2 linked regions of the Tamandua tetradactyla genome follow. The protein of the gene in region 2 purifies or fractionates together with the protein of the main gene of each other region. This does not show direct contact. Links are inferred from orthologs where the notes say so. Each region holds a gene or a part of one and is shown on either strand. Other genes may lie near its edges.

Region 1 (7,744 bases), on a different chromosome or scaffold from region 2:
CTTTTTTATCTCTGTTGTGGCTTTGGGCGCTTTCTGTATCGTTTCTACTCCTCTAGTAGGTGTCCTGGAGAAGAAACTAAGATCCGCGCGTCTTACTAAGCCGCCATCTTCCAGGAAGTCTCCAGGGACAACCTCTTGAACTAAAGAAGATATTACTTGGACAAAGTGGCTTGTAACTGTGATGTTAACTGGCACTAATAGGCTGAGTCCTGGAGAATTCTCTATCTCGAATCACCTTCCGCATCTTTCTCCTACTTTTCCTCATGTCTCATGAACCACACCCTGAGAACATCACCTTGAACGTCAGGTGCATGTGGCATGTGCAACTCTGTTCATGGGCCACACGCTTACCCTCTGCATGTAAACGCAGGATGCCTTCTGCCTGAAATGCCCCTTCGCTCTTTTCTGCCGATTGCTGCCCTGGTCTTCCCTGGAAAGCCCTCCAGACCAGGGGAGCTGTGTCGGGGCCCTCCTTCTGGGCCCCAGAGCTGTGGGCACTGGCCCACTTGGGGGCCAGGCGGGAACGGCACTGGGAGTGGTGCCCCAACGCCAGGGCCATGCCAGCTGACGAATGGCACTTGATTGAGGCAAATGAAGACCTCTCACTTCCCAGCCAATGCCCCAGCAAGACTGTGCTCACATTTCTTCTGGGGGAGCCTCCCTCAGCCACACTCTGGAAGACTGCAGGTGATGTGAAACCATTCCTTCCTGTAACTGGCCCAAAGTGAGACAGAGAACTAACTCACCTGTATCTTTGTTTCACAGAAAACAAAGACAGACTGCCAGAAGAATAAATAAAATGTTACCAAGACAATGCAACAAATGGACACCAATTAAACTTAAATTCCGAAGTATTATCTCTTGTTAAACAGACATAAACATCCTGAATCACACAAGTGCTGCCTGCCGGGGCTGGTCTGTCAAGGGCATTAGCGGCGCCTGCCACACTGTTTCCACGAGGCCACACAGGAGAAATGCATGGGGCAGCACACAGCAGACAACTCCAGCCGGGTGACAGCAAGTTCACCACTGAACCCTGAAATACAGGCCCTCACCACAAGCTTTTATACCAGAAGGTTCTGTTCCCCCAAATATTTCTGGCCTAGTTCTTCATACCTGATTTGTTAGATAATACTATAAATACAATTCTTTCAGGCTGGCAAAAAGAGGGCTATGTAATACTATTTTCACAAGTAAAGCATTCTATTCTGCAGCCTGTAAGCTCACTGGTCCCAGGCATTCTATGCTCCATCCCTGCTCCAGGGGCGTAGGGTTCCAGCACAGGGTCCCACCCCAGGGTGCTGGCATGGGGTCCCAGCACGGGGTCCTACTCCAAGGTGCTGGCACAGAGTCCCGGCATGGGGTCTCACCCCAGGGTGCTGGCACGGGGTCCCGGCACGGGGTCCTACTCCAAGGTGCTGGCACAGGGTCCCGGCACGGGGTTCTACTCCAGGGTGCTGGCACAGGGTGCTGGCACGGGGTCCTACTCCAGGGTGCTGGCATGGGGTCCCAGCACGGGGTCCTACTCCAAGGTGCTGGCACAGGGTCCCGGCACGGGGTTCTACTCCAGGGTGCTGGCACAGGGTGCTGGCACGGGGTCCTACTCCAGGGTGCTGGCATGGGGTCCCAGCACGGGGTCCTACTCCAAGGTGCTGGCACAGGGTCCCAGCATGGGGTCTCATCCCAGGGTGCTGGCACGGGGTCCTACTCCAGGGTGCTGGCACAGGGTCCCGGCATGGGGTCTCACCCCAGGTGCTGGCATAGGGCCCCGGCAGGGGGTCTCACCCCCAGGTGCTGGCATAGGGCCCCGGCAGGGGGTCCCACCCCAGGGTGCTGGCACGGGGTCCTACTCCAGGGTGCTGGCACAGGGTCCCGGCATGGGGTCCCACCCCAGGGTGCTGGCACAGGGTCCCGGCACAGGGTCCTACTCCAGGGTGCTGGCACAGGGTCCTGGCACGGGGTCTCACCCCCGGGGTGCTGGCATAGGGTCCCACCCCAGGGTGCTGGCACAGGGTCTGGGGTTCCGGCACGGGGTCCCACCCCAGGGTGCTGGCACTGGGTCCCACCCCAGGTCACAGCACAGGCACACCGAGCCAGGCCCCTCACCTCTTCCCTGCGTCCAACTCAGTCATGTCAAAATCAAATCGTCTGTTTGGTGACAATCCAGGTTTTATGAATCATTTCTATGCATGGAGTTCTGTCACTCCTGCCATCATCCACTGGAATAAAGATTGCTGCAATGACTTACAAAGGTTTTATCTTTTTCAGCTAAAGTTTCAAGTTGAGCACACGTGGGAAAACAGCCAACATCTGGGCCTCCCACCTGCCGGACGGTGCGGTCACTTGGGAGGGCGCGGGCTTGAGGGATGCTCTTTAAGGACGGCGAAAACCGGAGGAGGCCGCGTCCCTCCGCACTGGGCCGTGCCTCGGGGCCACCCCGCCGGCTCTGGCTTTGGGGTGCAGCACCCGGTGCCGGCGGGCGGCCTCGCTACCTCGCAGGCCGGTTCCGCCTCGCGGGAGCGCTCGTGCTCGGCTCCTCGCAGCTGCTCCCTAACCCGGCGAGCAGCACGGCCCGGCGTCCCGGGCAGGACGGGAAGGAGCACGGCCCCCCCCCCGCGACCCGCTTTCCCTCCCAGGGCCCGCGCCCCCGCGATCGGGACGGGTGAGAGCTCGCGCGGCGACGCCCTCCCCTCCCTGTGGCTTCCCCGGCCAGGGACAACCCGAGTCCCAGTCCTGGCCTCCTCCCGGCCTCCCCCGACCTCTGACCCCTGACCCCGTCACCCCAGCGCCTACCTAGCGGATGCTCCAAGCCGCTCAGGCCTCACCGCACCAGGCCGGGCCCTCCGAGGCGCCGCGGGCCCCGGGCTCGCGCTCGCCGACCCCTGATGTCCGCCGGATGGGCACGCTTGTGAAGCTTCGGGCCAGGGCCCGGGGGTCCCGGAAACCCCAGCTCCGGCTGCTGGGCGCGCGCGGGAGCGCCGGGTCAGGTGGACGCGCACGTCGGACGCCACACCTTCTTCCTCCCTCAGTGGCCTCAGGAGCCGCTTCTGCGCAAGTGCGCATGGCCAGCCACACTCTCGGAATACTGCCGAGGTCTCGCGATAGCACCGGGCCACGCCATTGGGAGTAGCGGATTGGAAGGAGCCGAGGAGCCGGCTCGGGGCGGGTATAGGCGGGGCCTCCGCGCAGGTGGGCGTGGCGGGGCGCGGAGCGACGGCGTGCGGTTGATGGCCTTAATGAGGAGGGAGGAGCCGCCGCTCGGACGCAGGGGCGCTCTGTCCACCGGCCCCGCCTCTCGGGACGTCCCGCCGACGCACGCGGGGGCCCGGCCGGAAGCGGTGTCCACCCCTGTGTCCCTGGGCGAGCTCGGGCCGCTCCCATCGCTGGGGCGTGGACTCACCCCGCCCGAAAAGTCGGTGAGGCTCGTGCAAAGTTCAAGCAGGGCTCGCCTAGGGCGCTCCGGGGCTCCCTGGGGTCTCCCCGGGGCCGTCCCATCCCACCCCCAGGCCCCCCAGGAAGCAGAGTCCTTCTCCCGGGAGAGCAGGTCCCTGTGCAAGCAGAAGCCACGTGGAGCCTTTTTTCCCCTGGAAATGTGATTTAACCGCAGTATTTAAACGGATATATTGTGCTGTAGAAGGTTATTTTTATTTATTTATTTTATCGTTTTTATATCAGTTCCCACTACGGGAGCAGAGAATTGGGCTCACAGTTTGGCCAGGCAGGAATATTAAGCAGTGCATCATTTCATCTTTGCTCATTTCTAAGATAGTCTAGACACAGCTCCGTAATCCTGTGCAGGAATCCAAAGGACCATCCGATGGAGATGAAATTCTACAGAGCATGCGGTGGGCAAGACGAAACAAATCTCCCCTTTGCGATCGTCTAATGATACGTTGAATCCTTTGAAAATATCCTCTGTGGAGTAATGTCTCAGTATTAAAATCACCAGACCTGATTTCAAAAAATGCTTTTCCAGCGTGCCTGCTGGCTCCCTCGGCACTCTCCAGCTGCCAGACATGCTGTTCACCCTGGCGAACCGCTGGGTTCATGCACGGAAAGATGCTGGCGATCATGGCATTCAGCAGCCAGGGAGCAGTTGATTGGAAGCAAACCCATCTCGGTGAACCCTTCACTGTTCATACAGTTCAACAACTTCTTGAAAGTATAAACGTAGGGTGGTGTTTTACTTTCTTAAAGCTGCCAGGAGGCTGTATAACAGAAATGGAATGGCTTTTTAAAAGGGAATTTATTAAGTTGCAAGTTTACAGTTGTAAGGCAGTGAAAATGTCCTTTTTAAGGCACTAAGAAGAAGTTACCTCCACTCTAGAAAGGCTCATACCGTCCAGAGCACCTCTGTCAGCTGGAAAGGCAAAGGGCAACATCTGCTAACTTTCTCTCCTGGCCTCTCATTTAATAAGGATTCCCCAGGGGCGTTTTCCTTTTGCATTTCCAAAGGTCTCTAACTCTGGACTCTGCTGCTTTTTCCAAAATGGTTCCCTCTTAAAGGACTCTTAACCCCACCTTGAATGAGTGAGACACATGTCTATGGAAACCACCTAATCAAAAGGTACCACCCACAAATGGGTGGGTCACATAGCCAAAGAAACAATAAAAAGATCCCACCCAATAATATTGAATGAGGTCTAAAGAATATGACTTTTCTGGCATACACAACAGTTTCAGACCAGTGTAGGTGGTCAGTCCCCTTGCGTTCTGCGTGGTTTCACTAGGCCAAAACTATTGCTCCAGTCTCTTGAGGACAGTACATTTTATTCTCACCACCCCCAGGTTCAATTCATCTGTTTTACAAATGGATGTTGTAAGTTGTTCTGGAGAGGGAGTAGATGGGTTAGTGCAAAATGAATTCATCTTGGAGGCAGAAGCAGGTGATAACTAATGGATTTCTGTTTGCAAAGCCCTTTCATAGTTCCTTTCCCGTGTGATTCTTAGAACACTAAATGGGACATTTTAAATTTCCATTTTACAGAAGAATTTGAAGCACAGAGAAATTTGATGATTTGGTCACAGTTAAGAAAACAGCGGGCCCTACATCTCACCTTGACTCCCCTGTCTAGGCTGTTCATTGCCTCTTAATACTAAATTGTGCTGCCTCTCAAATCAAGATAAATAATCTAGTCGTTTATCTTTCTAGGTTGGCATGAGCAAGAAGAAGGTAAGAGGTGTGCAATTATTTGGTGACACATTCAGTCCCAGCCATGTGTTCTGCTCAATAGGAAGATCATCAATAAATTGCTTGAAAATTTTATTACATATATGCTTATTCCCTGCTCTCTACAAGTGAGGCAGGTGGCCATCCAGTGTCACTGATGACCAGCCTGTCTTGGGACTGCTTTCCCTCCTGCCCAACAAATGAAAGTGTCAGGTCAAAGTCGCTGTTCCGAGATGAACTGCTGTGTCCAGAGCCCCTGATAAAATGTGTGCAGTGCTAATGGGAAGGGAGGTCAAAATAAGGTTTTGAAAAATTGGTGCCTGCAGGGAAGGTGATCAACTGGTGAAAGAGTGGTGTCAGGCCAAAAAAAAAAAAGGTGTTAGGGCATCAGGCATGCTTTGCGGGAGCAGGTGCAATTGTAGAGCAGGAGGTGTGTGACCTAAGAACAAATCCTCCTGTTCTGAACATCACAGCTTTGCTCCAGGCTAGCCCTGGGTGGGTCTCACTGTCGGCTTCCAATTGTATTCTTCCTTGGTGATTTGCAGGTCAGATTTATTTAGAAATCCCCTGCTGCAAGCTCAACCTGCAAACTGAAAACTCAAGCTGTGTCCCTTCTGCCTCTCATAATTTCTAAGGCAAAAATGTGTAATGTGTATACAGAATGCCACATTGGATGTGAACTAATGACATAAGCAGAGAATTTACTGTTCCTTCCTAGGTATCTGTTTTGGGTGTTAATAAAGCAATGCTTGTAAATCTGGTGAAAGCAAGGAGAAACTTGAATCTGCGTCTGCAAGGAAAGAAAAGATCAGTCATAAGCAACAAATAGCATAATCTGCATCCTTGGACCCATCCCAGGCCCTCCCTTCCTTTCCCCAACCATACTTTTTCCCCGATATCATATTTTTTTCTAACTAATTTTGTCAATATAGACTCAAGACATTAACGAATAGGGATATTGTGGGTAAATCTATTGATGCTTCTAACTCAAACATTTATCATGCAGTTTCAAGATCTATGAATAAAACGTTCTTTAAATATTTTGGGGGCCACGCTGTATGCTATTTTTAAGTACAAAAGTAGTGATGTAACACTTTCAAAATGACTCTAAAACCTCAAGGCAGCTTATTGATAAGTGTAAACATAAAACTATGCTTACCAAGGAATGAAGGACTGTCCACGAGAAGGTTGATGCCAGATTCAGACTCAGCATGGCCATGTTGGTGATGTCAATTCTTGTGACAAAGGCAAAATTATTCTAGAAAGTCCTGAACTCCTTGCTGGGCCCTTAGGTACAAATGTGCAGTAGTAGCATACGTCCATATGTCATAATGCTTCCACCTTGACTGCTAGCTCCTGGGAAATTTTTTTTTTTTTTGAATTCCAACCATCTCAGGTAATTGTTATGAAACCAATTCAAGGACAGATGTTTGAGCCTCACTTGAGCAGGTGGTCCTCAACATATGACCTAATTGGTTCCTGGATGGTTAAAAATCAAGCTCATAGAAATCACTTTTTTCCTGTATCCTCAGTGTTTAAAGCTAGGCCTCCATTCCTGGAAACCCATTTATTACCTTAAAAATGCCAACATCAATCATGAAAATAAATGGAAAATAAAACACAAATATAGGCTTTAGCAAACACAATATTGTTTGACAAAACTCTTCATTGAGTAGTCATACTGTAGATGATACTTTGGGAAACTTTTCGGCATTGATAAAATACCTGGAATGTCTTAAGATATTAGTTCAAAGATGTTTGCAATGATGACTGATTTTTTAAGATTAATATCTCAAAATTAATATTTTTAAGACAGTCCATGTTTTTCCAAAGACCTTTGAATTAACTTAAAATTTGGAGGCATCTGTCTGATACATGTGACTATCCATTCGAAGTCTCTGAGAGTCCACAAGTGGTCAGTGCTGGGGAAGGGTCATTTCCTTGGCATCATAAAACCACAATGATCCCTTACAGACTGAGTTTGCACGGTCGTTATTGGGCCCTGATGAACATGAGTGCTGCCATTGGTACGGTCGTGAGACAGCCATGCATTTGACACTTGGTCTTTCTTTGGGGGTGGAGAGTAGTTTTTGTTATGAGGGAGGAGATAAAGGCAGGGTGTCCCCAGCTGAGGGTGGTCTGAGCTGGCTTCATAGGACCCACAGTCCTATGTCGGCCACATTAGGAGAAGATACAGATACTGAGGAGACCAATCACTTCTTCAAGTCTATTTCTCCTTTAAAGCCCTGGCAGGAAAGTGTTATAGCACTACTTTCGTACTTAAAACTGGCATGTAACAGTGGCCCTTGTAATATTCAGAGAATAGTTTACTTGCATGTCTCAAAACTGCATAATAAATGTGACTTGGAGTCATAAGCTTCAGTAGATTTCCCCATAATGTTCCTATTCCTTAGTGTCCTGAGTCTATATTGGCAAAATTAGTTTTAAAAAATATGCCATCAAGAGAAAAGTAATGGTTGGGACAGGAGGGGAGAATCTGGATGGGAACAAGGACACAAATTCTGCTATCTTTGTTGTTTAGCACCGACTAGACTCTCAGATCTCCTCTTTCCC
Region 2 (7,131 bases):
AAAACATGAAAGAAATAATGGTGGGGGAGTGGGAACTAGACATGAGTGAGAGGAAGACTTTTACTTTTACTTTTTATTTTATATATTTTTTGAATCATGTAAGTGTACTACTTAAGATTTTAAAAAGATAAACAAAAGCACCCTGATACTAATAATCTAAATGATGAAACACTAGATATCCATTTAAAAAATCATGCTTTCAAAGAATAATTATTGCCATATGAAAATGTTCACACTTTAATGGAAACAAACAAAAGCAGAGAAAAAAATTGACCACAATAATGCAAAATAATAATACTGTCATTTATCTCTATAAATGAAGTTTGTTGTTTCAGTTTCCTAGTATTACAGATGAACTAATAAGTGGTTGGATAAAGCCCAAGGAACTGGCTCCAAAGTGATTCATAATTTTAAATGCACATTGGTGCATCTGTGTACATAAGCACACACAAGAAAAACTGAAGGGAAGTAAGACAAAACATTTAACAGTGGTTATCTCTGGATGGTGGGATTATGAGTAAATTCCATTTTCTTCTTTACCTTTCTCTGAATTTTAAATTTTTTCTACTAAGTACACATGTTACATTGATAATCTGTCAATAACAGTAAATTTTTCTTACAGTAAAATCAGAGAAATAAACATAAAAATGCCTAAATCTTCCATTCTTATGCATGCCAAGCTGCCACAGACGCAAAAAGCTAGAGGCTTACTGCTCTTCATATTAAGAGTAGAGGCAGGACCAGAAGAAAGAGTCCAGCATCTAGTCTGTGAATCTTTATTCTACATGACCATCCTCTTCTGGAGGACCGGTTCTGACAGAACTGCCAAACAAGATGTGTAGACGGTGACAACACATCAGAGGAGCTGTGGTATTTTTGTACAAATGTCCAATCATGCCACTTCTAGACAGGAGCATGTATATCATATGTGCTGCAAGAAAAAAAAAGCCTAAACAGAGAGTGGTCAGTGGATGTCCCAGGATTTCTTTAGCTTAGAGAAAGAAGAAAGAGAAAGTAGGAATCAGGTGAAAATGACTTAATAATTCAAGCAAAAAGGTTCTTAAGTTTGGGGGGGAGGATCGCAGATTCCTTTGAAAATTATGGACTCTCTCCTAGGAAAGAAATATATCTATGCACAAGAATTTTAGAAGTATTTCCAGATATCAAATTCTTTTCACAGATTCCAGGTTAGGTTAGGAATCATGGGTTCAGAGTCAGATTTCTATTTAATATAAGAAAGAACTTCAAACGATCAGGGCTGCCTCTGGGAGCAACTAGTTTTTTGCCCCTGGAGGAGTTCAAGCAAAAATCAGATGAGAAATTGGCAGATACATTATAATAGGAATTAAAATACTGGAGGGGACTGGCTTAAGATTCCATGATTCTAATGAGAGCTAAATTTGAGCTCAGTCAAGCCCATAATTGAACACTCTGCTGCTAAACTCTATATTCTTGCTGTGAAAAGCCAGAGAAGACAAGAAACCTACCTGTAAAGAATAATGTGGAGTTGTGAGAAAGCATAAAATATGTTCAAATCTACAAAGCAGGTAGAGTTACAGGTTACAGAACGCTCACTTCTCTAATTCAATCTTTACAACAAATAAAAGGGGGAAAGAAGGAAAGACATAGAACACACGTTAAGCACTCATAATAATAATAAAGATATATTAACTGAATGCTTAGCACAAGTACATACTAGACACCTTCGAGCAGTCAACAAATAACTGTTGAGCACCCACCATGGGCCAGGCACTGTGTTAAAAGTACAGTGAACAAACTAGATAGGATCCTTACCCACATTTCTCAACTCTTTTAATGGCTATTTTTGTCTCCAGTTTATACTTGAAGAAACTGAGGCTCAGAGAGGTTAAATAACTCAAGCTCACCTAGTTAATAATATAAGGGAGAGTCCAGATTTAACCAGACAATTGGAACTCAAAATCTATGCCCTTCTCCAGTGGATCTTGGTGCTAAGGCCACTACAACTTCAAAACAACTTTCCTAGATCCTTCCACAACATCAGGTCTTCACCATCTGTACAGTGATGATATCTCAAGTCCCCAGACACTGCAAATGTTTCTGCTGACAGCAGGAAGAACACAACTTTTTACTTACTTTAGCCTTTCCCAAGTCCCTTCACTTGACCCTCAAAGTCAGCTTCACCAGTCAGTGGGGGAGACACCATAATTTCCATAATATAAATGAGAAAATTAATGAACAGGAGCAAAAAGATGGTCTTTCCTAGAGATATAACCATAGAACAACTAAAAAAGGAAATGCAACCAACGAAATAAAAGTGATTTGTTAAAGGCTGGAGCTGAGCCTGAGTCCTGATCTCTTTAAAACAGAAGAAAGATGAACAATTGTTAGATAGGAGTTAGGAGACGTTAGAACAAACCAGCACTAAGCCTCCTGAGAATTATCAGAAGAAATCAGAGTGCAAAGGAGACTACCTGCTTCGCCAGTGATTAAATATATGCTATTTGGTGTAGTGCCCATTGAAAAGCATGCCCGGTGTCACTCTGGGAATTCTCAATTAACGTATTGCTAGCTCTTAAATAGTGCTTGGCACAGAGTAAGCCCTCAAAAAGCGTAAGCTGTCACTGTCATCGCCACTGTTCAGAGTATCTTACTCGATGTTACTGTTACTGTTGAGGAAGAACCGCAAAATACCCAGTTCCATACGACGGCCGACCTCAGTTCACCGTAAGGAACCGAGGCCTTTCCCCGCCGCTTCTCAGTAGAAACTGGGGCCTTAGGGTTCGCGGGCAATAAGAGGCGGGCAGGGCGGGGAACCCAAGCGGGGCTTGCCGCCTCCTCCTTTCCCCTCAAGGCGGACCCGGCCTCCTGCTGACCCCCGGGCGCTTCCTCCCTCTCCGAGCATCTACCTTCATAACTGCCAGGCCCGAAGGCCACCGGGGCTCGGCCAAGCTGTCCATGGTAGCTCCAGAGGAGTGTGGGGGCCAGCCGCCCAAGGGCCTCCGGCGATGCACTACCGCTCGAAATTCCCCGCGCTACTGCGCTACGTCATCAGCCTGCGACACGCCTGAGGGGTGCGCGGAGCCTGCCGGGAGTTGTAGTACGTGGGCGGAGGGCAGTTCAAGGTACTCGCACTGCGCATGCGCCAGGCTCATTTGGTAGCTTATGATAGAAAAAGGTGAGTCGTTTAAAAGCACAGAATCCGGTTCTTGCTTCTTATCTTGGGCTGTGCCGGTCCCGCCCGCCTTCCTGCGCGCCTCGTCACCATGCCTCGGAAAATTGAGGAAATCAAGGACTTCCTGCTCACAGCCAGGCGAAAAGATGCCAAATCTGTCAAGATCAAGAAAAATAAGGATAATGTGAAATTTAAAGTTCGATGCAGCAGGTACCCTTATACCTTGGTCATCACAGACAAAGAGAAGGCAGAGAAACTGAAGCAATCCCTGCCCCCAGGTTTGGCGGTGAAGGAGTTGAAATGAACGAGACATGCTGATTTGAACTGTATTAAAATTTTTAAAATTCAAAAAAAAAAAAAGCACAGAGTCCCAGAGCCTTGATAAATGAATGTCCATTGAACGCTGGGAAAGGGCTTCTAGAAACCGTAATAAGCCAAATCCAAGCCTTCCCAAATCTTTCAAGGGCTAAGCTCATCCCTCTTGCTTCGGGTCGTTCTCCGTGATAGCTATGAGAATCTATGTCTGCTCAGGGGTTTTCATATCCATTATTTCTTTTCACCGCTATCACAGCACTGGAAGGTCGTGTTATCATTATCAGTTCACACAAGACAGAGCTACAGTTCAAAAGAACAACGGAAGTTTCCTTGAGTCACACACAGATTTGGGATGACGACTCCAAATCTGACCTCTGAACTTTGAAGGTGGGGCTCGCTCTTCCATTCAAATCAAAATTTTGATTTAGAAGTTCTTCCTTCTCTTAAAAGATAACCCTACTAAAAGTTGGCATATAGCCCTCCAGATATCTCCTATGCAGGTACAAACATTGATACTCTCCCTAACAAATGTTAGATTAAAAGCATAACTCTGTTAACTTGTTTACTTCATCATGCATCTTGCGATTTCTCCATGTTAGTACATATAGATTTGCCTCATTCTTTTTAATGGTTGCATAGTCCATAATATCAACGCACCAAAATTTACCTAACTACTCTTATATTGAGGGACATTTAGGTTGTTTCCAGTTTTTCACTGCTACAAAGAACTGCAATGAATGCATTCCTCTATATAATCTTGGCACACTTGGGGAAAGCTATCTGGGGGATGGTTTTCTAAAAATAGAACTAGTAGAACAATTGTGTGTTCTTTTAAAATTGTGATAGCTACTGCTAAATGATTGTCCAAAAAGACTACACTAATATATTTACACTCTCATAATAGTGTTTGAGAGCACCTTTATCCAAATGCAAAGCCCTGACCAGCTCACCAACTTAGCATCATCAGCGTGCTCAGCTCTGCCTTCATACACTACCTTAGTTAGGCCTCCGTTGCGTCATGCCTGGAGGATAGCAAATCAGCACAGACACATCGTTCAGGGCCGAGCTAAGGACAAGACTCTGCAGCTTGCCACTGTCACCTCATGTGGTCCATGCATTCCTTCTTTCAACAAATACATTTTAAGAGCTTACCATGGCCAGACTCTACTACTTTCCTGTGGAGTAGGCAGAGGTGAGGTTGTTATTGCCATTTTACAGTCCAGAATATAGAGGCTCAAAAGGATAAACCTTGGCTTCACTCCTTTGGGCTTTCTTCATAAGGAACCTATACTCCAGTGAGTTTTTAACAGCCTACCTCCAAATGTTCATGGGGCAATGATAATGTCATCAGCAGCATTTGGACAAAAGACTTTAACATGCATTACAATAAAGTTGACATTATTAGGCCCTGTAGGCAAGAAGCTATTTTAAGTGTTTTTAAATATACTGACATTTAAGACTCTCTCCAACAAAATGAGGAAATGGAGGTAACCAGGACACCCTTCTGGGGAGTGGAAGAGGAGAGATTTGAACCCAGGCAGTCTGACGTGGGGGTTCACATTAACCATTACAAAAATATTCTCATAAGGACTTCTTCATGAGGATTATTTCCATATTATAGACCTAGGAACTGAGTCTCAGAGAGGCAAAGGGAATCATTCAAGATCACACAGCTTCGTCAGTGGCAGAGCCCAGCCTTGAACCTAGCTCTTTTAATCTCAAACCAGAATGGACACTTGATTGAAGAATAACTGAGTAGACAGGGCTGCAGGGCAGGACTGAGCCTGGGGATCCCAAGACCTTGGACCTCCTGGGGCTCCAACAGGAAGGAACCTGGAGGGGGCAGGGGATGAGGAGGTGTGGCAGTGAATTTGTCTCAGCCAATCGGAAAAGAGCATGCAAATGAACTCTAGGCTGCGTGGAAAGATGTTGGCTGGTTTGGGATACAGCGGGTAGTGGGGTGGGTTTGGAGAGAGAAGTTGCAGAAGGTGAGAGAGGGAGAGAGAAGAGAGAGAAGAGATGGGAAAAGGTAGGAGGACAGGTGAGAGGGAAGGATAGAAAAGGATAGAAGAAGGCAAGAAAGGCGAGAGAGAGAGAGAGAGAGAGAGAGAGAGAGAGAGAGAGAGAGAGAGAAAGAAAGAACAGGTAAGGAGGAAGACATGCACTCTTTCCATCGAGCCATGAAAACCGATTTGGAAGCATGCGTCACTTGGTGGTAATGATTTCCAAAGCCATCTTCCCTGCTCTGACTTCCAAAGAGCCTCCAGAACTGTGCCTGGTGTCATTCATCTGAGCATTCCTGCCACGGCTGCTTGGACAGTCGGAATGAATGAACGATTCACCAGATATGCCCACAGTCCCATAAATCTTTTCCTCCCAGACTGAGCCACTGTCTTCCTGCCCTCTTCAGCTGCCCCAGAGTGATAGATAGATAACCCTCTCCACCGGAGAAGGAATAAGAAGGTTCTGAAAGACTTCTTTGAGCTCAGCACAAGGCACTTGTCTTAACCTCTCCTCACTGGGCAATTATCCACTCCCGGGATCCATTCTCCTGTAACAAGCTTCTGTTTCCACAGACTTTCTTTTTCAGTTAGAACAATAAAGAGGTTGCACTTACTTATTCAGGAGTTAGAAACAAAATGTTCCGTATATATAAAAAAAAAAAGCAGGTGAGTGCTCAGTGGAATCTCCCATGGAACTTAGCACACAGTGAGCATCAGGGATAGGGCTGCCAGGTAAAATACATAACACCCAGGTAAATTACAATTCCTGATAAGCAACCAGATCATTTTTTTTCTAGTATAAGAATGTCCCAAATAATTCGTGGGATTAATATTTGTATATTTTTTAAAATCTCCCAGGGTGAACGGGTAGTTCAGTGGTTAGAATACCCACCTTCCATGCGGGAGACCCGGGTTTGATTTCCGAACCATGCACTCTTCCCCCCAAAAAAAGGCTAAAAAAAAATATCTCCTTGTATTTTTATTTGCTCAGTCTGGCAACCCTAATCAGGGAAGCACTCTCCTGGATGAGTGTGGGGTCTGGCCTGATTGCACCTTGGCAGGTTCCATCCTCTTAGTGCCTTTCCAAGCTCTCTCTTCATCACCCTTCCTTCCGCCCTCCATTCCCACTTCTCCTACGACACTGTTCTCATTCTCATTGTGGAATGGGGGTGCTATTGAAGGAGCTCAGGGAACCCTATCTTTCCCTCTCTCCCTCCATTTATCTTAGCAAATGTTTGTTGAGCTACTACACATCCTGTGCCAGATATAAGCAAGTATGTAGGAAAGTGAATAAATAAGATAATTTCATAAAACAACAAGTGATGTAAAGCAATGAAAGAGGAGGATGTACTTTAAATCGAATAACCAAGGAAGTACTCTCCGAGGAGGTGACATTTGTACTGAAACCGAACAGATAAGACAGAGGCAGCCACTCAAAGACCTGAGGGTGGGGAGTTCTAAGCCTTGGTTAAGGGTTTAGATTTTAATCCGTGTTAACTTGGGCAAGTTATTGAACCTCTCTGTGCCTCAATTTTCTCATGTGTAATATGGGGGAGAATATTATTTGCCCCATAAGCATGTTGTGAGAATTAGATGAATGATTACAGGTAAAGTGCTAGAATAATAGTTCCTGGTACCTCAAAACCACTGTGTGAGCTG

The links.
Region 1: the proteins of RAD18 (region 2) and SHPRH purify together in Homo sapiens (affinity purification with western blotting; 3 studies listed by BioGRID and IntAct, with this or other methods). This does not show direct contact. The link is inferred for Tamandua tetradactyla from reciprocal best matches to the Homo sapiens genes RAD18 and SHPRH.

What each region holds. Positions count from the first base shown.
Region 1 is NC_135351.1:44,907,655-44,915,398, forward strand, and holds the start of SHPRH (E3 ubiquitin-protein ligase SHPRH), read right to left. Parts: upstream 3,034-7,744; 5' UTR 2,794-3,033; intron 1-2,793. UniProt on the Homo sapiens protein: E3 ubiquitin-protein ligase involved in DNA repair.
Region 2 is NC_135335.1:40,212,080-40,219,210, reverse strand, and holds the start of RAD18 (E3 ubiquitin-protein ligase RAD18), read right to left. Parts: upstream 3,019-7,131; 5' UTR 2,940-3,018; coding exon 2,889-2,939; intron 1-2,888. UniProt on the Homo sapiens protein: E3 ubiquitin-protein ligase involved in postreplication repair of UV-damaged DNA. Postreplication repair functions in gap-filling of a daughter strand on replication of damaged DNA.